5 linked regions of the Xenopus tropicalis genome follow. The protein of the gene in region 1 interacts with the protein of each later gene in a pairwise test. Links are inferred from orthologs where the notes say so. Each region holds a gene or a part of one and is shown on either strand. Other genes may lie near its edges. The genes, in order: tollip, dazap2, tom1l2, rbpms and tom1l1.

The links.
Region 2: the proteins of tollip (region 1) and dazap2 interact in binary tests that used the Homo sapiens proteins (3 or more experiments, as listed by UniProt). The two-hybrid records come from large-scale screens. The link is inferred for Xenopus tropicalis from reciprocal best matches to the Homo sapiens genes TOLLIP and DAZAP2.
Region 3: the proteins of tollip (region 1) and tom1l2 interact in binary tests that used the Homo sapiens proteins (3 or more experiments, as listed by UniProt). The link is inferred for Xenopus tropicalis from reciprocal best matches to the Homo sapiens genes TOLLIP and TOM1L2.
Region 4: the proteins of tollip (region 1) and rbpms interact in binary tests that used the Homo sapiens proteins (3 or more experiments, as listed by UniProt). The two-hybrid records come from large-scale screens. The link is inferred for Xenopus tropicalis from reciprocal best matches to the Homo sapiens genes TOLLIP and RBPMS.
Region 5: the proteins of tollip (region 1) and tom1l1 interact in binary tests that used the Homo sapiens proteins (3 or more experiments, as listed by UniProt). The link is inferred for Xenopus tropicalis from reciprocal best matches to the Homo sapiens genes TOLLIP and TOM1L1.

What each region holds. Positions count from the first base shown.
Region 1 is NC_030680.2:21,551,092-21,555,980, forward strand, and holds the start of tollip (toll-interacting protein), read right to left. Parts: upstream 3,161-4,889; 5' UTR 3,080-3,160; coding exon 3,047-3,079; intron 1-3,046. UniProt on the Homo sapiens protein: Component of the signaling pathway of IL-1 and Toll-like receptors. Inhibits cell activation by microbial products. Recruits IRAK1 to the IL-1 receptor complex. Inhibits IRAK1 phosphorylation and kinase activity.
Region 2 is NC_030678.2:142,300,537-142,305,321, reverse strand, and holds the start of dazap2 (DAZ-associated protein 2), read right to left. Parts: upstream 3,278-4,785; 5' UTR 3,241-3,277; coding exon 3,228-3,240; intron 1-3,227. UniProt on the Homo sapiens protein: In unstressed cells, promotes SIAH1-mediated polyubiquitination and degradation of the serine/threonine-protein kinase HIPK2, probably by acting as a loading factor that potentiates complex formation between HIPK2 and ubiquitin ligase SIAH1.
Region 3 is NC_030685.2:15,323,445-15,327,641, reverse strand, and holds part of tom1l2 (TOM1-like protein 2), read right to left. Parts: intron 2,040-4,197; coding exon 1,905-2,039; intron 330-1,904; coding exon 162-329; intron 1-161. UniProt on the Homo sapiens protein: Acts as a MYO6/Myosin VI adapter protein that targets myosin VI to endocytic structures. May also play a role in recruiting clathrin to endosomes. May regulate growth factor-induced mitogenic signaling.
Region 4 is NC_030677.2:83,960,843-83,965,786, forward strand, and holds the start of rbpms (RNA-binding protein with multiple splicing), read right to left. Parts: upstream 3,141-4,944; 5' UTR 2,850-3,140; coding exon 2,787-2,849; intron 1-2,786.
Region 5 is NC_030686.2:24,827,114-24,830,352, reverse strand, and holds the end of tom1l1 (TOM1-like protein 1), read right to left. Parts: intron 3,129-3,239; coding exon 3,023-3,128; intron 1,835-3,022; coding exon 1,753-1,834; intron 1,546-1,752; coding exon 1,479-1,545; 3' UTR 1,467-1,478; intron 1,015-1,466; 3' UTR 690-1,014; downstream 1-689. UniProt on the Homo sapiens protein: Probable adapter protein involved in signaling pathways. Interacts with the SH2 and SH3 domains of various signaling proteins when it is phosphorylated. May promote FYN activation, possibly by disrupting intramolecular SH3-dependent interactions.

The sequences.
Region 1 (4,889 bases):
CAGCATGTCCAACAGTCAAACATTAAAAGATACAATTCAAGGCCCACCTTGAAGGTTGAACCATTGTTGAGGGCCCCCCTTAGCTCATAAATAGTTTATGGACACCATTACTGTTATAAGCCATAGTTCCAACTTAATATGTACAAATTATATTATATATTCCTTCCCTTTCTACAAAAACGGTGCAAAGGGTAGGAACATAGCAGGAAGATTATGCTGAAAAAATCCTAGGGTATTCACTCACACTCCCACTTATATACAGATATGGGATCCCTTATCTGGAAACCCATTATCCAGAAAGCTCCGAATTATGGAAAGCCTGTCTCCTATAGACTCCATTTTAATAAAATAATTCAGAATTTTTAAACTGATTTCCTTTTTCTCTGTAGTAATAAAATAGTATCATGTAACTGATCCCAACTTAGATATAAATAATCCTTATTGGGGGCAGAACAGCCCTATTGGGTTTATTTAATGGTTAAATGATTCCCTTTTCTCTGTAATAATAAAACAGTACCTGTACTTGATCCGAACTAAGATATAATTACCCCTATTGGGTTTATTTAATGGTTAAATGATTCCCTTTTCTCTGTAATAATTAAACAGTACCAGTACTTGATCCCAACTAAGATATAATTACCCCTTATTGGGGCAGAACAGTCCTGTTGGGTTTATTTAATGGTTAAATGATTCCCTTTTCTCTGTAATAATAAAACAGTACCTGTACTTGATCACAACTAAGATATAATTACCCCTTATTGTGGGCAGAACAGCCCTATTGGGTTTATTTAATGGTTAAATTATTCCCTTTTCTCTATAATAATAAAACAGTACCTGTACTTGATCCCAGCTAAGATATAATTACCCCTTATTGTGGGCAGAACAGCCCTATTAGGTTTATTTAATGGTCAAATTATTCCCTTTTCTCTGTAATAATAAAACAGTACCTGTACTTGATCCCAACTAAGATATAATTACCCCTTATTGGGGGCAAAACAATCCTATTGGGTTTAATTAATGGTTTATTATTTTTTAGTAGACTTAAGGTATATAGATCCAAATTAAGGAAAGACCCCTTATCCGGAATACCCTTTGTCCCAAGCATTCTGGATAATGGGTCCTATAGACATATCTATATATATTCACCAAAGAAAAGTGGCACTGCTGCAAACTCGTGCAAAAGGACTTAGCCCGTTGGTACAGGCTCACATACAAAAACCCACCAAAAAAGTCCTGCCAAAAAAAAAAAAGAGTCTTACCAACAAGTAAAAGGTGATATTTGTGAGAAGGAAGAAAAACATTTGGGTTACCCTGACTCGGGTTAAAATAGTAGATAATATTTGTTATTAGTATGAAAGGGTATAATATTTTCAGTAGAATTTCCATTCAAAGGATGGAACAGAAAGCATCATTACAACACTCACATGACACAAAACCCATAGCTGTTTTGAGGCTAGCTATTGCAACATTGTTTCAGGATTCCGAAACAGTAGTGCTGAGACTATAAACAGCCAGGCATTTACTGCCTTCACTAGCAATTACATTTACATATAACTTCGAAAACCACTGAAAACCATTTAAAGTACAGGTATAGGACCCCTTATCCGGAAACCCATTATTCAGAAAGTTCCAAATTACGTAAAGGCTCCATTAAAAATTCCATAGACTCCATTTAAAAGAAATAATTCTAATTTTTAAAAATTATTTCCTTTTTCTCTATAGTAATTAAACAGTAACTTGTACTTAATTCCAACAAAGATATAATTAATGCTTATTAAAGACAAAACAATCCTATTGGGTTTATTTAACATTTATATGATTTTTAGTAGACTTAAGGTGAGTAGATCTAAAATTACAGAAAGACCCCTTATCTGGAAAACCCCATGTCCCGAGCATTCTGGATAACAGGTCCCATACCTATAATATATATTGCAAAGCTGTCTTTACAGGACAAAAGTAAAGAGAGGACATCAAAGCATCACAGATGCTTTGAAGCTAAAGAATTGATGTAAAAACAGATAAATACATATTGTACATGTGAGGAACAAACTAAGATGTTTACGGCCCATATCCTATCTTGGTCGCTGGGAGTGGAATGCTTAGGCGGCTGAAGCACATGACCTAGCCACATTCCAACGGGAGACATCAGTGCATCAGGGCTTTAACACTCGAACAACTCTAGCCGCTTTAAGGGATAGGGATAGGCGGCCGAGAGTTTGGCTAAATATGTCCATATTGCCCAAGCAATTTAGGGCACGTACAAGGAGACCTAGAATGTAAAGCCATAGGACTGCTAAAGACTTCAGCAACCACAAAACTTAGGGCCCTTCATACCAAACCTGCCCTTTAAGTCTCTAGGCTTGTGGGTCAAATACTGGTTGGCCCATGTATGGCCACCTTAACAAGAGATAATGCCCTCTGTACAAACAAGCTCCACCCTTTATTGTTACTGTTTTGAATTAGAAAAAAAGCAGAAGCCCATTATGAATGGGAATATCTGTCAGGCTGCAATCTAATTACTCACCTTGCAAGACATGGGGTAGCCTCAGTTTCTCAGCTTGCCCCTGTTCCAGCTCAAAAAAAATTAACAAAACCCATAGATCTGTCGCGATTCAAATAGGCAAAAAAAAACAAAAAACTAGTTGAGCTCAAGCCAATTTATTAGTAACCCTTTGTTGTTGAGTAAGACGGATAGTGCTTCTTTAATTTCATATCCTACATAACTAGGTGAAAAATGAGCTGCTGCAGGCTGCACTGATTTATGTACAGCCACGCAGAACGCAGTTTAATAGCTGATTGGCTACACAGCATGTAGGGGTTTTCTGTGGCGTTTAAAAGGAAAACATGCCGTCAACGAGGTAATACATTCCAAATATCAAAGATCTCAATGTCACCTTATTTACAAACTAGCCAGGAATGCAGCGCATTCCTTATGTTGGGGCTGGGTCTCACCTCCATACCCCGACATTTTTATCACCCCTCATGTATTGAACCTACCACCTAAACACCCCGTTTCACCCCAAAACCTCTCTCCACTCTATCTCACCTGGCCTCTCTGGGTGCTGATACTCGTTGCCATGGCTTCTGAACAGCTCTTATCTCTCCGGTCTCGTCTTCTCCAAGACACTTCCTGTTTTAGCTGCTACACCCTCTAACAAATCTGTCACCTGACTTGCAGCGCACACGCATGCGCAGTAAGGCATCAGACGCTTGCGGTTTTAGCGGCGGCTCCGCTAGCAACTCGGTCACCTGACCTGCCGGACGCACGCATGCGCAGAATGCCTAAAGTGCCTCAGGACACAGGTTGGCTCTTGTTTTTGAGGATAAAATATAGAAACTGAAATGATAGAAAAATTATTAAGTACATATATGTCAGGAAACTGTTCCCTATGGGTGTCGTGTGTGATTTTATATCAGTATTGGTTAATTCTGTCACAGGCCATAAATCCAACTTTTAAGTGGGAAATTAAATAACTTTTTCAAATACATTTTTATTTTATATGTTATTCATGTCATACAGTTGCTCTCTACTAAATGCAAAACTGTGAGGAAAAAATACCAGCCTTGCTATCTTTGTGTGAATGAGTACAATTCTGTACAATTGTGTGTAAAACAGAGTAAGAATGTGTAAGTGTGTAAATGGGTGTGTAAATATTTGTATTGTGTGGGTGTGTCAAAGGGTGTGTAAGGGCGTATAAAGGGGGCATTTGCTAACGTTCGATTTATTTTTTCACAGTTGGAACATATGTGCCAAAATACGATTTATTTACAGGAAAGTTGATTTACAGAACCGCAGGAAATCCGAAAGAAAAAATGCGCCATCTAAAAGCTGCTGAGAGCAGAAGTCAATGGCAGGTGTCCCTTTTTACAACTGGAAGGTATTTCCTCACTTATGAAAAAGCTGCCGTTTTTTGCATTTTCCCGTGTCTTTTTTATTTGTTTGTGCTTTTTCAATTTGGATCTTTTATTAAAGCCTTTTTATTGTGACTTTTGTGAAAACGAGTTTAGACATGAGTTTCAAAATACTGTAAAACCATGAAAATCAGAATGTTAATAAATCTGCCCTTTAGTATATGTAGGTGCAGAAAATAATGTGTAGATGCATGAAACAGCGCGGCATTGGACTGGCCTGCTGGGACACCAGGAGAAAACCCGGTAGGCTCTAGTCCTGTTGGGCCCCACAGGGCTGCCATCAGGGGGGACAGTCATCCAGGGCCCGGACGATTCTCACTTTTAAGGGGGGCCCAGCCTTGATACAGTTTTTTTTAGCTGGGGCCCCCCAAGTACAGGCCCTGTCATTGGTGGTCAACGAGTAATCCGATTGGTCGCGCCCCGTGTGTACATGTAACGTCATAAGAGTGAGGACGCTGCGGGGAGCCGGAGGAGAGAGACAGTCAGCTGGAGGTAGCAGGAGAACACTGGGGGGGGGGGGAGCCGGAGGAAGCAGAAGGATGCTGGGGGATAGCAGGAGGATGCTGAGGGGGGAGCTGGAAGAGGCAAGGGGATGCTGGGGGGGGAGCCAGAGAAAGCAGGAGGACGTGAGGGGGGGCGGAGCCGGAGGAAGCAGGAGGATGCCAAGAAAATTTTGTTGTGAGGGACCCTGTGATTTCTCATGACCTGGGCCCCACTATCCGGGCACACTATGTTGCAATCCATAACTACCGGCGAAAATCATCGCCACAGGTAAGTTTGATGAAGTAAAATTGAAATGTTCTGTAGTCTTTTTAGTGACTGTTTTCTTTTTTTGTGAAACTGTTGTTATTTTCATATAAGAAAAAAAAGTTAGTAATACATACAAGTTAGAATGTCCTCCTGTCTTGTTTTATTGACATATTTAAATGTCAGCATGATTGTTTGTAGAGATTTCTAGCATCCCCGATTACAGCACG
Region 2 (4,785 bases), on another chromosome or scaffold:
AAAAGGCTTGAACTACTTCAGTTGTGTGTAATGAATCTAAAATATATGAAAGTCTAATGTTTATCAGTACATTACAGAAAATAATGAACTTTATCACAATATGCTAATTTTTTGAGAAGGACCTGTATATTGCTTGAGCGCATGAGTCCTATTTTGTTTATAGAGCCATGAAAGATATTTAAAATATTATATGTCATCCATTGGTTCCTTCCCCAATGGAGCTTACAATTGTAGGTAACACATACATTAACACTACTGCCAATAAGCTGCCTATGTGCTTTAAAGAAGTCAATATGGCAGCTGAACCCAAAAGCTGCCAAACTCCACCTATATGACCCTGGTTTTAAAAATTTAGATCATCTTCAGTTCCCATAAAAATGCAGCTAATCTAGGGTTGTGAGGAAAGTAAAGTTGCTTAGATATTTGTCTGAATTCCATGGTTTGTTTCAAAGATTTATATTAATATCATAATTATCACAAGATTGCATAACAGAAAAAAATTAGTTTTCACACAAACAGAAATTTTGACAACTGCAAAATTTGGGAAAACTGGAGATAAATATTAATATACCAATTAAAATTCAATTTGGCTTATAATCAGACTCATCTAATCAATTTGACTTGGGATTTGGGAGATGATGGAAAACAATATTTAATCAGCCTAAAGGAAACACAGAGAATCCAATAGTCTTTATAGTCTGCATATGTTTGTGTTGTATTGCTTACCTACCAAGGTTACCAAAATCCTTCAATGATATTCTGGCCTCTGAGTAACTATTTGAACTTTTCAGGTCAGTCACTCAGAGGCCATCATTAAAGAATGCTAGACTTCATGCTTAAAGATTTTGTGGTGTACTTTTTATTTCTAAATTACACTGTTTAGCAAATAATTCACTCTGCCATTTAAAATTTTATTCTTGGATCAACATGTATTTTTTTTAGTTGTAATTCTGGTGTGTAGGCGCCATCTCAGTGCATAGTGTCTCAGTCTGAGCTTTCAGAAGGAGCCAGCGCTACGCATTAGAACTGCTTTCAGGTAACCTATTGTTTCTCATACTCCCATGTAACTGGAGGGGGCCCAACCCGGACTTGGATTTCTTACTATTGAGTGCTATTCTGATACCAACTGGGAGCTGCTATCTTGCTCCCTTCCCATTGTTCTGCTGATCAGCTGCTGGGAGGGGGGTGATATCACTCCAACTTGCAGCTCATTAAGAATATGGCTAGCTCATGGGTGACCAGACCTTTTCCGTCTGTGATCGACGATGACCGGGGAATGCGGAAGTGCAGCGTGAATGCGTACTGCTGCCTCCAGGCATGCCCAGAAGGCTCTCCAGGTCAACTACAGGTAGTCGAATTGAAGAGAGAACTGAACAGGAAGTGGGGGCGGGGCTTTACTCTGCACAAGGAAGCAAAGAAAAACTATCAACTTCTAACTGAGGAACCAGGTCAGAAAGAATGCTGGGACAAAGGTAGGTAATTCTGGAGGCTGTTTAGAGTAATTTTACTGATAGAAAAAAAAGGTTTACTTATTCTTTAACCTAAAGTTATGAACAAAGTAGCACTCTAATTTGCTCAGCAGAAATAATCAAAGATAAAAAGACAAAATACTATTCTTTACCCATAACAAGTTCAAAATAGGCAGAACATTTTTGGTTCTAGACTAGAACAATAAAATCAAAAGCACTGTAAAACTTCAAGTCTCAAGTATGAGATTCTCAAGAATGTCACTCTGAATAGGCAGAAACATTGGGAAGACCTTGAGAATCATTAGAGAACAACCCCCTCTGCAATGAAAAAGTTAAACAAGTATTATGACATTCTTTCATAAAGTCATCCATATAATAATTTATTTGATGCAATCTCCTCTTTTTGCTGCTAAAATGGGCGAGGAATTCCTCTTTGTTAAAACTGCAAATTGTTTTTGCACCTTATCAAATGTATATTTATGAAGCTATTCTGAAGGAGAAGGAAGCTCAACACCCCAAGCAGTGAAGCGATATGGAGTGGCTGATATTTGTCCATGCACAGGTGTGCAGCAGCATTAAATTGGGCACAGTTCCACAATGACAATCTGTGATTCTGGCAAATGCCAGAGGGGCTGCTGTAAGATACCATAGACCAGGAGTCCCCAGCCTTTTTTAAAAGTGAGCCACATTCAAATATAAAAAGAGTAGGGGAGCAACACAAGCACTATGGCTATTTGGTAGTCTCTATGTGGACTGGCAACCTACAGGAGGCTCTGTTTTTTTATGCAATCCAAATTTGACTTCAATCCAAAAATATGCACCTGCTTTGATGCCACTGGAAGCAACAGGGAAGGGGATGGGGAGCAACATGCTGTATGTGAGCCTCTGGGGATCACTGATATAGACAGGCACTATTTATTGGGGGTTGTGTAGGGGGGCTGTTTGGGCCTCTGTGTATTTAAAAAGCCAGGGCCTGGTTTAAATCCCAGTCCAAGTCTGATTAGACAATGTTTCCAGTGCAGTACTAAACTCTACTACAAATGTACTTTGTTACTGGATTACTGCTCTTCAGTAGCAGAGTTCTTGTTAATTCAAGAGTGCCATGCACAAATACCATCAGCCTGAAGCCTGGCATGGTTGATGATAGATTGGTAAATATAGGTTGTAAGTGCTGGATTTACTTGGATGGGTTGGACTTGATGGACTCTGGTGTTTTTTCAACCCTATGTAACTATGGTACTATAGTTGCCGACTGGCCTACTTAGTGATCCATTTGCCACTAAATCCTTTATAAAGCGCTGGAATGGAAGGCAAATGACACGTCCGATGTTCCTTAGCGAGGCACATACACAAGGAGTTACACAATCCCTGCCTTACACGGTCAGAGCGGTGCGCACACAAGCAGGACGGAGCCGGAGCTGGTTACCAAGGTATAAACGTATTCTATAATACGTCCGAATTCCTAATATTTATATATATATATTCACTCGCTCAGTGACTAATAGAGCCCGCCCCTAGAATATACCCACCCAAACCATATACTTCCTAATAATAATAAGCAGAGGGACTCGGTTATAGAGTAAGTCCCAGCAGGGCCCCAAATCACTGGTATCAGTGACATCATAACGCCTTGCAGCAGCAGCAGCTCCGCCAGGTCGCAGTCTCAATCCCAAGGTGCATCCTGATCAGGACAAACAGCCCTAGCAAGCGCAAAGCACAGTGAAGTTGCCGCTGAGCTCCGGAGGGGCCATTACTTGCCTTTATTATTCATTGCCCCGGGTTCACGTCTCTTGCTCGATCTGTATTTTCTCTGTGTTGTTGTGGGAGATGATTCCACTTCCGCTTCTATCTACTTCCTTGTTGTGTTTTTTCACTCTACGCAGATACGAAAGCGCATTCCTGCTGAGCAGCGCCCCCTACCTGCACTTTCATTTTGCGCGGCTTTATTGCAGGCTGCAGCTTTTGGCTTGCCTAAACACGCATTTTGCTTTTCATAGACCCAAGGAATGGTACAACTTATGGTTATAATTAGCCCATTAGGTAACATAGTAGCTGCTTTACTGGAAATGAGTAAAATTTTCTTGCTTTTGTATCAACAGATTTTTACCATTTTGTATTAACACTGGTCTAGGATATCAATTTAGCTCTTTCCCTGTTGTCCAGGTTATGGGCTGTTTGTAAAAAAATTGCATTGTTGGGGAATGCATTTTTCTTGTAAACGTAGGTGCTATGTCATTGGTTGGCTGACACGTTTCTTTTCAGGTAAAGGGAAAGGCTTATGTCCCACGGAGTGGTTTAGTCGCCCACAATAGATCTGTGTTATCGCGGGTGACTGCCCTCTACGAAATGCCTATCCACCAGCCACGCCGGTAGAAAGCCATTGCTTGCATTGCTTCAGTTTTCATAAGTCACACAAAGATGCCTGCTGGAGGAAACTTTGTATGACTTTGGAATACCAAAGCCATGTGAAGGGCTTTTCACAAGCAACTCCTATTGTTGCCAGTGGAAATGCATTTTGGAACAGTTAGTTGCCTGCGATAGCAGAGATCTATTGCAGGTGACTAAACCGCTCAGTGGAACATCAGCCTTAGTCACTAGAGTCAATATATTAATATTACATGCATGCAGTATATAATGGAATTGGTATACATTGGGTAATGTAATAAAGGATGCAAAGTTCATCTGGGTCAATTAACCCATAGCAACCAGTCGGATTCTTGATTTTATATAGCTGACCAGTAAATTCTATCTGCTGATTGGTTGCAGTGGGTCACTAACCTAAAGCAAATTTCGCACCTTTTATTATATTGACCCCTTAACACCCAGATACTGACCCTCACTACTCTATGCTACTATTGGACCTGACAGGAACTGTAGCCCATGCAGTGCTAGAACCTAACTCACAACTCTCCTGTAATTTCTGTGTGTTTCCTTCTTATCATCACCTTTGCAAATAACCCCAATGCACTGGCCTTATTGGCTGGGACTTCTCTCCCCCAGCTGAAAAATTTTTACGTAACAAAGGTGTCTAGGAGCAGCACCTGCTGTAAAAATTGTGAATTTTTTTAAGGTTATTATTTTTCACCTTCACCTACTTAATTTATATTGAGAAAAAATACCCCTTATTGTAAAGGGATATTATAAGTCACTGAAGAGTTTCAATACTATGTAAAGGCACAATATTGCAAGAGCATCTTCCCTTTTGAATCAGTTTTGACTAACAGGAGGAGTCAGAAGTCAGGGGAAGATGGTGCCTCTGAGCTTGGAGGGGGAGCAGTGAAGGATGGCTGAAAATGGGTTAGGGTTTTTTTCTACT
Region 3 (4,197 bases), on another chromosome or scaffold:
GACCTTAGGCCGGTGCAGTTTTCAGTGAACAGGAGGGGTCTCTGGTAAATGGTTATAATCACTTGGGGGGCATCCCCAGTAATTATGCCTTTGCTTTAATAAGATGTCTGCCTTGGAGCAGATTGGCCACGGGCACACAAGCATATAAAGCTGCTCCATACCTGCTCGGAGTTTGCGCTGATGGGGCCGCCCATGTTTGCTGGAGGGCCTCCTGGGGCTGTGTAGGGGGGAGTGGGGCTGGATTTGGAATTGGAGAAGTTGCTGAAGCTGCCCCTCTGCTGAGTCTGAGAGGTATGCATGTTGGTCGCAGGATCCACCTCAGGAACGCTCTGTAACAGCAAAAATACACACATAACTGTAAATGTACCTTCCTAGGCCAGGCTAGCAGATCAGTACAGGTATGGGATTATTTTACTTCAGTTTGGAATTTCAGTAGTTATCTGGTTGCTAGAGGCCAATTTACCTTAGTAACCAGGGAGTGGTTTGAGATAGTGACTGATATATGAATAGCAGAGGGGCCGAAGAGAAAGATAAGTAATAAAAAGTAACAACAACAATAACATTGTAGCCTCACAGAGCAATAGATTTTCGCTTCCGGGGTCAGTGACCCCCATTTGAAAGCTGGAAAGAGGCAGAAGAAGAAGGCAAATAAAAGTTAACATAAAGGTGAACCCCCCCTTAAGTACTTTATGTGGAAACTTCCAAGAATTTGAGCTGTTACCTTAATAGGCAGACGAGGGCCCCTTCATGCTTTTAATAATGCAGCGGCACAAAACGGGCGGCAGAAAGCCTGCTGTCATTTCCAGAGAGCGGAGGCATGAATATTTAATGTTAATGCCGAAATCTAATCTGCCTTTAGGGGATGGCAGAACTCTACACTGTCGCTGAGCAATGTGACTTGTACTACAGTGTGCAACTCACAATACAACGAGTGATGGGTGCTGGTTCCTCAGTGTTATGGAGTCGCTGCGCCACAGCAATAGGCGAAAGGCCAAATCTCTGCTTGGGTTGGAATATGTAACAATCGGAGGCATTTTGGTGTTTCTCACAGAATACAGACAATAGAGCTATTACTGTGCTGTGTGTGCCCAGACCTGACCTGTCACATATGTACAAGTCCAATGTGGCCTGTTGGCACCTTATAGTGGGTGGGTGCTTAAACCGTGTCCCTCCAGGGCCCAGCACATTAATATTAAAAAGTGGGGGACAAGTGGGCAACCCTTTGCAGTAAGGTTTCTCAATGAAAAAGCCTCTTATATAGAATAAAGGGGAATTAAGGCTTCTGAACCAAAATTTGCCCCATAGAGAAACCCCTAATATACCCATCACTGCAATCTGTTCCTTCAAAAAGTATGAATAAATACCATTTTATATGCTGAAATCCAGCTGCAAAATAGTTCTTCTCTTCCTGCATCATTTGAAATCCTGGCAGGGGAGGAGGGACTAAAACACTGATGTTACAAATTGTAACAACTTCGCCACAGCTTACAGACAGCATGCAGGAACTACAAAACCCACAATGCATTGCACTGTGATGTTCCTTTCCTTATTGACATCACGTGTGCAGAGAATCGTGGGATTTGGAGGCTGCAGGCTGCAGGCTGAGGACAGGCGACTACTGTTACATTTTATCTGAGTCTCAAAGTAGCCAACCAGATCAGCAGGGGAACAGGGGGCGGGGCTTAGGGAACTGTTACAAACCATATTACTTTGAAAATGATGAAAAGGCTGCATATTTTTTAATTAATGTATACAGCACAGTTGCTTGAAATTATGTTTTCTTTTCAAAAAGCTTAAATTGTGTTTGCGTGGAGTTTAAATCATCATTTTCCTCAAATTGAAAAAAAAAAAATATTGTGCCCTGCATAGGTGGCAGGTTAGCAGCCAGCTTTTCATCAACTTACCCTCTGGGGGGTGTGTATGGGAGACAAAGCATCTAGATCTGCCATTGGGAACTCTATTCCTTTTCTCTTCAGCTCCTCATAAATATGTACAACTCCAGTAAGGTCAGGGCTGCTGCGAAATGCGTCCGCCCAAGCCTGCAACACAACAGCGGGAACACAGCAACTTGTGAAGCGTCACAACCAAAAGGGGCCCAACACCTAAATTGCCTGTTGTTACAATGTGAAACATCAATGTTTTAGTCCCTCCTCCCCTGCCATAGCACCCATTTCTATCATGCATACATATATACAGAGATATTTTCAGGAGACCAAGCTTATAATGAATGAAGACAAATGCAGCAATAAACCTGAAGGACAAACAAGAAAAGAAAATGGTCTCTAATTATAGAGATGGTAATATTGATTAATGGCTGCATTCCATCAACCCAAGTGTCCTTTCTTCCAAATGTCACTTACCTTCTGCACGGTGCCAGTGAGGCAGATCTATTCTGTATGGGGTTTCAGAGAAACAGAAATCCTTTGGGCGAGACGCGGCTCTCCCCTTCTGTACGTTAGTGGTGCCTGACCCAGTAGAACACACCCCCCTGATATCTGATCTGACCTCATCTGATACCATCGGGGGTTGCCACTTGCAGGTAACATATGACAGAGGGGACACGGGAAGGGGTGACACCTTTGCCTTGAACGGTGTCAGTGACAAACAGGAACCCCAGTGCGTTTATATTTACATACATGTGTGTGTATTCAACACGCCACTTGAGAAGGTTATGTTTGATTTAGGCTTGAATCAGTTGGAAAAATGAAAAAGAATAATTGGGCATAAAGGGGTTGTTCACCTCCAAGTTAACTTCTTTTTTTTTTTATTATTTGTAGTTTTTTAGTTATTTCATTTTCAGTTCAGCAGCTCTCTAGTCTGGAGTTTCAGCAGTTATTTGGTTGCTAGGGTCTGAGTTAGCTTAACAACCAGGCAGTGGTTTGGATGAGAGACTGATATATGAATAGAAAAAAGTTATAAAAAGAAACAATAAAACTGGAGCCTCACAGAGCAATAGTTTTTTGGCTGCAGGGTCAGTGACCCCCATTTGAAAGCTGCAAAGAGTTGGAAAAAGAAGGCAAATCATTCAAAAACTATAAAATAATGAAGACCAATAGAAAAGTTGCTTAGAATAGGTAATTCTAGAACATACTAAAAGTTTGCTTAAAGGTGAACCGCCCCTTTATAGACTGGTGACTAATTGCAACCCTTTTAATAGTCAAAGCAAAGGGAGTAACTAGGATGGGGAATGGGGAAAATAACTCCAATAAATAAAAATTTGGTCTCAATGTAACAGCTCTAAGTGAGCAAAAGAGACCCATACTATGGTCACAGCTACGCACCAACAAGTTCTTCAGTAAGAAGCTGAGAGTTATAGTCGCACATAGTGTGGAAAACGTGGCCTCTAGAAAGCCTCCATCTAACTGCAGGCATGAAAAGGGGGGACAGGAGGGAACTCCGAGTGTGTACATCAATTGTACCCCAATGTGCTTATTGCCCACCCTTGCCTTATCTGACAACATCTTGGACCAAAAAGTAGTACTAAATACACTGGAAGGGTGGCCAAACAAAAAATATGTCTGAATCTCTGCAGAATATGTTCTCTGACCCTACTGGCTACTAGGTCCCTTTATGGGTGTTGTTTGGCGGCCCCAAAATGGACTCAGCTTACTGGCACTGGCCAATCGGAAGCAAGAGAGGAACACAGAGTGCCTTGCATGGGTTATTTTTACACACAGACAGAGCTTAGCAGATAGAACCATTCCACACTGGTCCAAAATGTTATTATCATGGCTTAGACCGTTAAGCAAACGCCCGGAGCCCATGGGTACAGCCCGCACTGTGCTGGCTCTTGCACCGCAGATACACCTTTGTTTCCATGTTCAGAACCAAACATTAAAACCTGCAGAAGGGACAGAACTGGGTGACTCAGCCCATTCTGAAAGGCTCCTATATAATTATTATGTCCTAATCTCCCAGACTGCAGTTCGGGCTTTGGCCCCAACCAGCGATAAAGTAAAAAAGCTGAATTTGCGGTCTAAACTTGCTGCCAAGGTATCAATTAGCGGAAATTGTTAATGAGGGAAGTCCAGCACATTTACTGTGTCTGCAACACTGCTGCCTGGCAAACAAAACAGGATTAAATTGCTTTCAGTAGAATATAAGTAATAAATAATGATCCCTTGGCATAATGCATGGGTGGGCAACTGTCAGCCCTCCATTAAAGGGATAGGGACACTTTTCAGAAATGAGTCACTA
Region 4 (4,944 bases), on another chromosome or scaffold:
ACTAATCCATATTGAAAACACAAAACTATTGGGTTTATTTCATGTTTAAACAATTTTTAAGTAGACAATGCATGGTGATTCAAATAATTAAAAGACCCCTTATCCAGAAAACTCCAGGTCTGAATACCTGTATATTTAAAAAAGGTACATATATTTTATATCTATATTTATAAATATATCTATCTATCTTGGCGTTATATTACTAAAGCATATAAAAATATATATCAAGAATATGTTCACTGCATAGATATATATTCTCACACACATACTCCATATACATACACAAGTTCATCATACGTTAAGGCTATCAAAAACACTTAAACAAACCCAATAGAATTGCTTTGCAACCATTATGGATCTATGCAGCTTAGTTACCATCAAGTAAAAGGTAATATTTTATTATTACAGAAAAAATAATTTTAAAGTATTGGAATTATTTGCTTAAAATGGGCAGTAGGAGAGACGGCCTTCCTGTAATTTGGAACTTTCTGGATATCAGGTTTACAAATTAGAGATCCTGTATATATATATATATATATATATATATATATATATATATATATATAAAACACAAAATAGCCGGTACCGCACTCACAGGTCTTATAGAAAGATATTTATTCAAAAAATCGTGTCTAATGTTTCGGCTGCCATTGCAGCCTTTCTTTTTTGAGAAAGGCTGCAATGGCAGCCGAAACGTTAGACACGATTTTTTGAATAAATATCTTTATATAAGACCTGTGAGTGCGGTACCGGCTATTTTGTGTTTTACTATTTCGTATTGGACTGCACCCAGGCATCCTTGACTCTGTATTGTGAGTGCCTGTTACCAAATTTTGTGATTTTATATATATATATATATATATATATATATTTTGTTTGCATCAAAAACTCTCCACATTATTTTACAAACAACTGAAACATTTATTAATCATTTGCCTTGTTCTACCATGCCACTAACAGTATACCTGAATTCAACTATTCCAAGGACAAAACAATGCTGTTAAGGGAGCCAGTGTCCTTTGCATGTTCCACTTACTGTTCAGAGGAAAATGCAGCTGCTCCTAGAATCCTTTTTTAAAACAGCTGATCTTCATACTAGCATGCAATTTTGTTAAACCTGAAAATTTGACACAAGAAGTGAATATAAAAATACCAATATTGACGAATTTGCAAGAAAATGTGTGATGTGTATGTAAACTATAGGCAACTGTCCTGGGCCTGGACTTGAGAAACACAGAGGAGAACCGCACACTGAATGGTGCATGGTCAAAAAGTACTGGTACTAAAAAGCAAAATTCCCACACTCAAGATGTTTGAATCTTCTACTGAATTGTAAGTTAAATGCCCTGTGGGTTTGTGAATCCCCTACTAGCCTGATTTCCCTTCTTTTTGCATATTCCTGGCACCTGTAACCTAGATACCTGGGTAGAATAGTTTTTCCCTATTGGTTCACGGATGTTATAATTGTTTCCTGTAATGTTTAATATAGTAAGCGGGATCACATGGCTCTTGCCTTTTGGCCTCCACCTGCTGGAATGTCTGCTGGGCTGTCTTGGACAATAAGGCCCTAGTAAAGAAGAGGGACCACATAGGCACATGGGGAAGTATGAAATGTGTTTGTTTCTGTGCACCCCTGCGGTGAAACGCAGAAACAAACGCTAGTAATTACAAGCCCTAAAGGGCATCTCATAGTTGAAATGCAGGAGCTAGTTCACACTTGAGAACTGGTATCCATTATCCTTATTTGTTTGCAGCATGAGAGGTATTGTTTAACAACACTATTTCCTTCCTCTACACAGTAATGCAAGGACCCAACTGTGAGAGAGGGTTATGGCTTTTTAATTTTAATATTACTATTTTGACAAAACAAGGACCATTTTGTACCACCTAAAAAATACACAGCAATGAGAACTGCAACTCATATATTACAACTTCCCGTGTTTTAAGGAAAATCCCAGAAACTCAAGACACCTAGGATTTATTGAACAATTTATGAACACATTTGTTTAAACAACAGATTTACTGTATGCTGCACTCACAAAACAACAGTTGTGCAGATCATGCTTCCAATCAAAAGCTGATGTGATTGACTGTTTAGAACTAAGCAATTGTTCTGATCTACAAACCAGAATAATTAAGTTTGTCGTTTTCTCCCATTAAAAAAATACCAATCTCACATTCACACTATAGAAAGTGGTCCTCCACTGCATGAGCTTGATCACATCAGAATGTCAGCATGAAAGTTAAGGCATGCAATTACATACAATTTTGATGAATGTGAACTCTTTCCATACAAATGAAATCTGACAAGTCACAGGGTAATCATATGCTCATCACTCCTAAAGGATGAATGAGGATGCGACTGACTGACTCCTGAGGTCGGACCTAAATTGCCACACATAGAATCTGTCAAATCCCCAGAAACAAATCTTACTGTGGGACTACAGCCAGGGTTGCTCACTTACTAAAACAACAAGCCCACAAAATGGTACCGCACTACATATATACACACAAACAGTGACTGATAACAAGGTATACATGTGTGTGTATGTAATAATATACAAAATTTAAGCTGCTTTTACTTAGCATTTGTAAACACACAAACATGTATACTGAACTACATTTCTGTTGATCAATATTACAGCTTTTTAAGAAACATTTAAAAAAGCATTTTTATACAACAAACTATAGGAGTTGGAATGATCAGCAGGCATCACAAGTGGATAACACCATGTGCAGACTAGGGATAATGAGTAAAATATTTCGGTTGTATTAGAGCCACCTACCTCTTCTTCTGGAAGGCTGATCTCATCCTGAGAGCCCTCCTTTTCAGCTATGTTGCTGTTCATTGTGGTCTCCTGGGCAGAGGCTTCTGTGAATGTCAGTTTCTACAGTGCAGACTTTTCGCTTTCCTTATACTGGGAAGTGCTGGAGAAAGACTGGAACTTAGTTTCAAGCAGTCAGGTTACTGGTTAGTTTAATGAAAAGCATATCATTTAGATCCAAATATTATAATAAAGCTCTTGTTCTTTCAGAGTTTTGTCTTAAAAGTAAGATGAGGAAGTCTGTGGTTTGTACGAGTGATAAGGAAAGCAAGCGAGGGGGTGAGAGAGGAAAGGGGGATTGCGAGTGACTGTTGGTGATTAGGGTTAGGAGCAGCCTTTGCTTTCTGAAGGGGAAGGGCTTAAAGCAACTTCAGAGCCGGGACTACAAAACTCCCAGTTTGTGGGTGGGGAGCTGCTCTGTTTAGAGAGCAGGGAGGGCTGGTGAGAGAAAAAATCAGTATCGGGTCCAATTTCTTAGTTAAAAAATCAGCCGTGCTTGAAAGCGTCTTCAGAAATTGACGATTTCCAGACAAGGTCAAAGGGTGAAATGCCGAGAGATAGAAAATAGGCAGCGGCAGCAGGGTGAGAGAAAGAGAGAGTGGAGGGGGCGGAAAGAGTGATAAGCACTGTGTTTGGTGCTAGTGGTGAGTAGGATCTATTACAGTGCAAGTATACCTGAATGTTCTGGGTGCCGCCTTACCCTCCTTATATTATTTCAATTTGTAGCGATAGATCTTAACACTTTCCTGTAAGGTTAATTTAGGCAGAGGTTTACACCAAGGTGCGAAGTACACAATGTAGGAACCAGCAAAGATAATGCGCTCTTATGCATTTATTCTTGTTGTTGTTAGGATTCCACAAAAGAGGGAGCTTAGAGCCATGGCAATGAGACCTGGAGATTTGAGCTAAATCTGCTTTATCACAGTTTACTAATCTCTTAAAAATGCTTTCCCACCAGCAGTAATGTAAATCGTAGGTGACTAAACTCCACATGTGCCTCAGCCTTAGGGGTGACTGCACACATAGGAATTAGTCACCCTTGATATATCTGCTCTACCACAGGTGTCTAATCTTCTGGATATTCTTTGTGAGAAAATTACGTTCAACTTTAGAAGAACAAAGCAAAGCGTATGTTTTCCCAGTGGTGATTTACATTATTGCTGGTGGGAAAGCATTTTTTGGAGACTAATTTCCACATGTGCCATCACCATAAGGGCAATAGCCCACAGGAGGATTAGTTGGCCACGGTTAAATCTTGGCTACCGCGGCCAACTAATCTCCCTAAAATTTTGGGAACTAATCCCAGAAATGTGAATTCCCTGCAGGAGGAAACAGCACAACTTCACAAAACAAAGCAATGCATATGTCTTCCCATCGGCAATTTACTTTATTGCTGGTGGCAATCTAACAATAGGTGACTAATCTCCCTATGGGCCTTAGGATACTGGGAGACAAGGAGATTTATCACCTGCGGCAAATCTAGGCTACCTCAGGAAGCAGATCTCCTAGAAATACTTGTACCTTCATTAACATTCTGAGCGCGGGAAAATATCTTTTGAAATTTTCTGCAATTAAGCCAGATCATTGGATGTAATGTATTTTACATGCAGCAATCTGAATGTGAGCAAAGGGGTATTTTCTGGAGATTTGCCTTCACTTTAAGGCCCAGGTGAGGAGCACATATTTCCCTCAGACTCGCTTATATTCAAATCGCAGCATGTAAAATATTCTATTTTCAGATTTGGTGTCTGTGGGTAACAAAGGTTTCCTGCTGGCAACAAAACTGTTATTGCCTTTCTTTGACCAGGCAGACAGATAATGCCATTGGGCAAGATGTCTTTTGAATATCATCTGTATGCTGATGATACCCAAATTTACTATTGACCCCTTCGTTAACAGTTGAAACTGAGACTCAAATCTCTAACTGCCTCCTGGCTATCTCCAATTGGATGAACCAACGCCACCTCAAAATGAACCTAACAAAAACTGAACTAATGATCTTTCCGCCTAAGCCTGGTCCTACTCCCCCCTTTTCTATCTCTATCGAAGGCACCTTCATCAACCCTGTCAATTCCATGTGTTGTTTAGGGGTGATCATTGACTCCAGTCTCTCCTTCTC
Region 5 (3,239 bases), on another chromosome or scaffold:
GAATAGTGCTGTATTTGAGAGCAGGGTCAAGCCATTCAGTATGTCGTTCTTGGCATAATGAATTTAAATCTGATTTAGGACTAGATGAATAGATTTTGTTGGTTGGCAGCCTAATGAAAAACCTCTGTCTAATCGGATGGCTTAGGTTTTCTCCACTATTAGGCCAAAGAGTAAAGCATCACATAGAAAAATATTCGGGAGTATTCCATCCCATCTCCTATCATTGGCTAAAAACATCTTCCATAAATATGTTGAGATTTGCTCTGCAAAGAAAAATAAATATTTCTCAGTTTATAGACTTCTTATCAATATTATAGACCTTTTTTCCTACATTAACCTCCCAAAATATATCAACAATAAGAAATGATAAAATATAGTGAATCATTCTCTATACACATGTGGTCCTGGAACTTATGTAAGGGCTCTGGCACACGAGATTTGTCGCCTGCGTTTTTTCCCCCTGGCGCTTTGGCGACAAGTCGCCACGACAATACCCACAAAGAGATTTCATGCGAGTTGAGCTCCAGGCGATCTGCTACCCATGGTACACTCAACAGTTAACCCCCCCTCATGTTTACTCAAGTCGCTCAGAAAAGGGTCTGTGTGCGATTTGAAACAGCAGGCGATTTGAAGTAGCCTCTTATTTTTTGACGCTGGCGATTTCCCTTGATTTAGCATTGGCGTCTTGTCGCCAAATCGCTCTTTTAAAAATCGCCGGCGACAAATCTCCTCGTGTGCCAGAGCCCTAAAGGATATATATGAATAAGAAAAAGAAGCCTCCTGGATCCTGAAGAGTGATTGCTGGTGCACATTTGGCTGCATCTATGGTGAAGAAGACTGATATACTAGCGGATGCATCACAAGCCCAAGTGAATATGGTGATTTTGGCATGGAAACAAATCACTGGGAGCAACCCCTTTCAGTGATTATAATTACTTTGCTTAGGCCTCAGGTTGGTGTTCCTCTTGGCTGAAAAGCACACTGGCCCAGGGTGGTAATCTGGTAAAGCAGACCCTGCAATAGCAAGTAGGCCCAGTAAGACCCTAATAAATTAGCAATTTTAATACATCTTGGTAGAATGGGTCAACTTGCCAATGTTTTGGGTTCTACATTTGCTGTGAGGCCCAGTAACATCTAGTTATGCCACTGTCTCCGGCCAAGGGTTATTTCACAATATAAGTTCTGATTTTACGCTACTGTACATGTGCAAAGCCCAAACTAATCACAAGGGTCCCTGAAAAAGGAAAGTGCTTACCTAAGGTCTGACTTAAGTGTTTATCATCACTCGGGGGTGGGGTGCCTTACAAACTGATAAATTACTTACTATTATTTTTGCAAAATACTGATACAAATTGAATCATCTGAGGACATTTCAAGTCCTCAAAATGCAACTGTTTTAAAACAATAACTACTTCAGTGAATAGGTTTTTACATTCCAGCCTACAGCGAAGTCAGCTAGAACTTACAGGTATTAAATGCTAACACTCAGCGCCACTATTTGCAGTTTTCCTCCACAATGAAGTATCAATTTCTTCATATATGACTCTGGAATTAAAAAAAAAAAAGGGATCAGAGCTTGCCACAGTCAGAAATTATTATATCCTAAGTCTGGGTTCATTGAGCTGAACCCAGGCTATAAAGCTGTAAACATACATACTGTACACAAGGCACTAAAATGCCTAAAGGTTGTAAATGAGTTTAATGGCTCTGTTCTTACAGTTGTTTCCTATACCTGAACTAAAGTATACTTACTCGGTTCTATTACTTTCAGCCAATGGATCAAATTCTAACAGTTCATAGTAGTTTGGCAACAAAGAATTGTTCTCTGATGCACCTGAAAAATAAAACAGACATCACAATTTATTATAATCCCCACAAAAGAGAATTATTACACAAGCCAATTAAGATGATGTTTGCTTATGGGATATGTGTCGAAAGAATAAATCGAGAATAAATGTGCAGTACAGAACATTTTTTAAATAACAAAAAAAAATATATATATATACACACACACATAAATATACGGCAACCTTCTCTAGTAAATGTTAGTTGGCTTTAGTGTGACTATTTAGATAAGCATCTATTCAATGGCCCAAGGAAGATATGCTCATTTTGTAAGGTCACCCACTCGCTGGGCCAAATCTGGCCAATGCGATTGTATTGGACTACATAAACACGCTGATGCACTCCTCATCCATTGGGATTTTCAAACCTTCAAAAACTTTCAAAACCTATCTGGCGTTGGTGAGGATCTTGGGTAAAGTTACAGCCTGCAGATCCTTTTTGAAATATCTCCCCAGCCCTGCCTACATCTATGCCTTGATTAGTCAATTTTTCTGTCTGCAGGAGAGCTATGCTCTGATTGCAGAAGCCAAAAGAAGTGCCAAGCAGGTTTGGGGAGGCTTGGCATCCCCCAGCCTTATTGAAATCCACCTATGACACTGATGGACCAGCAAAGCAATGGGTTACTGATGTAAATCAAACCTAAATGCTTATTTGTGTGTTAGTGCATGATGGGAAACACATTTAATTACAGCTGCCTTAACTTAAAGTTGGGTTGGTGCACACTTTTAGTCTGTAACCAGTAGCACTAGGGTAACCACAACTATTAAAGGTAGTGATGGGTAAGTGTTTGGGCATCTGTACAGCCACTTTTTTTTATAATGACAGGGATACCACAAGGCAAAACATGATGGTGTCCCTTTTAACAAACAGTCAAAATGTATGATGGGAAGGGTAGTTTTGAGAACTAAATTAAACTTGCTAACAGTACAGGATGGTGGGGGCCTAGATTAAGTCACCCCAACACCTCCTGTGCTATTAATTAAAATATCTACCATTATAAAACATTGCAAGCATGTATTTCTTGAATAAACAAGTTGTTGCTTTTTATATAGAGTGGAGAATTTGAAATGCACATGTTTGATTTGCACTGCATTCTGGGACACAATAGGTAATTCTATTTTTCGAATATATTTTGCATGGCATTTTTACATTCCCCACTGACATACAGCACATATACCTGATTTGTTTTCTGCTAGTTGTTTGGATGTTGGGTTATTCGGTATTAGAAGAACAGTCGGGCTGAGGGCAGGAACTGTCGGAAGGAGAGTTGGTTCTGCTGGAGTCTGCAGGCAGTCGTGAAGAAAAAATAAAAATATTTAAAGGACATGTAAACCCTACACACAAAAATATATTGGTGAACAGCCTCTTTGAAATCTGTAAATAACTGGCACTCT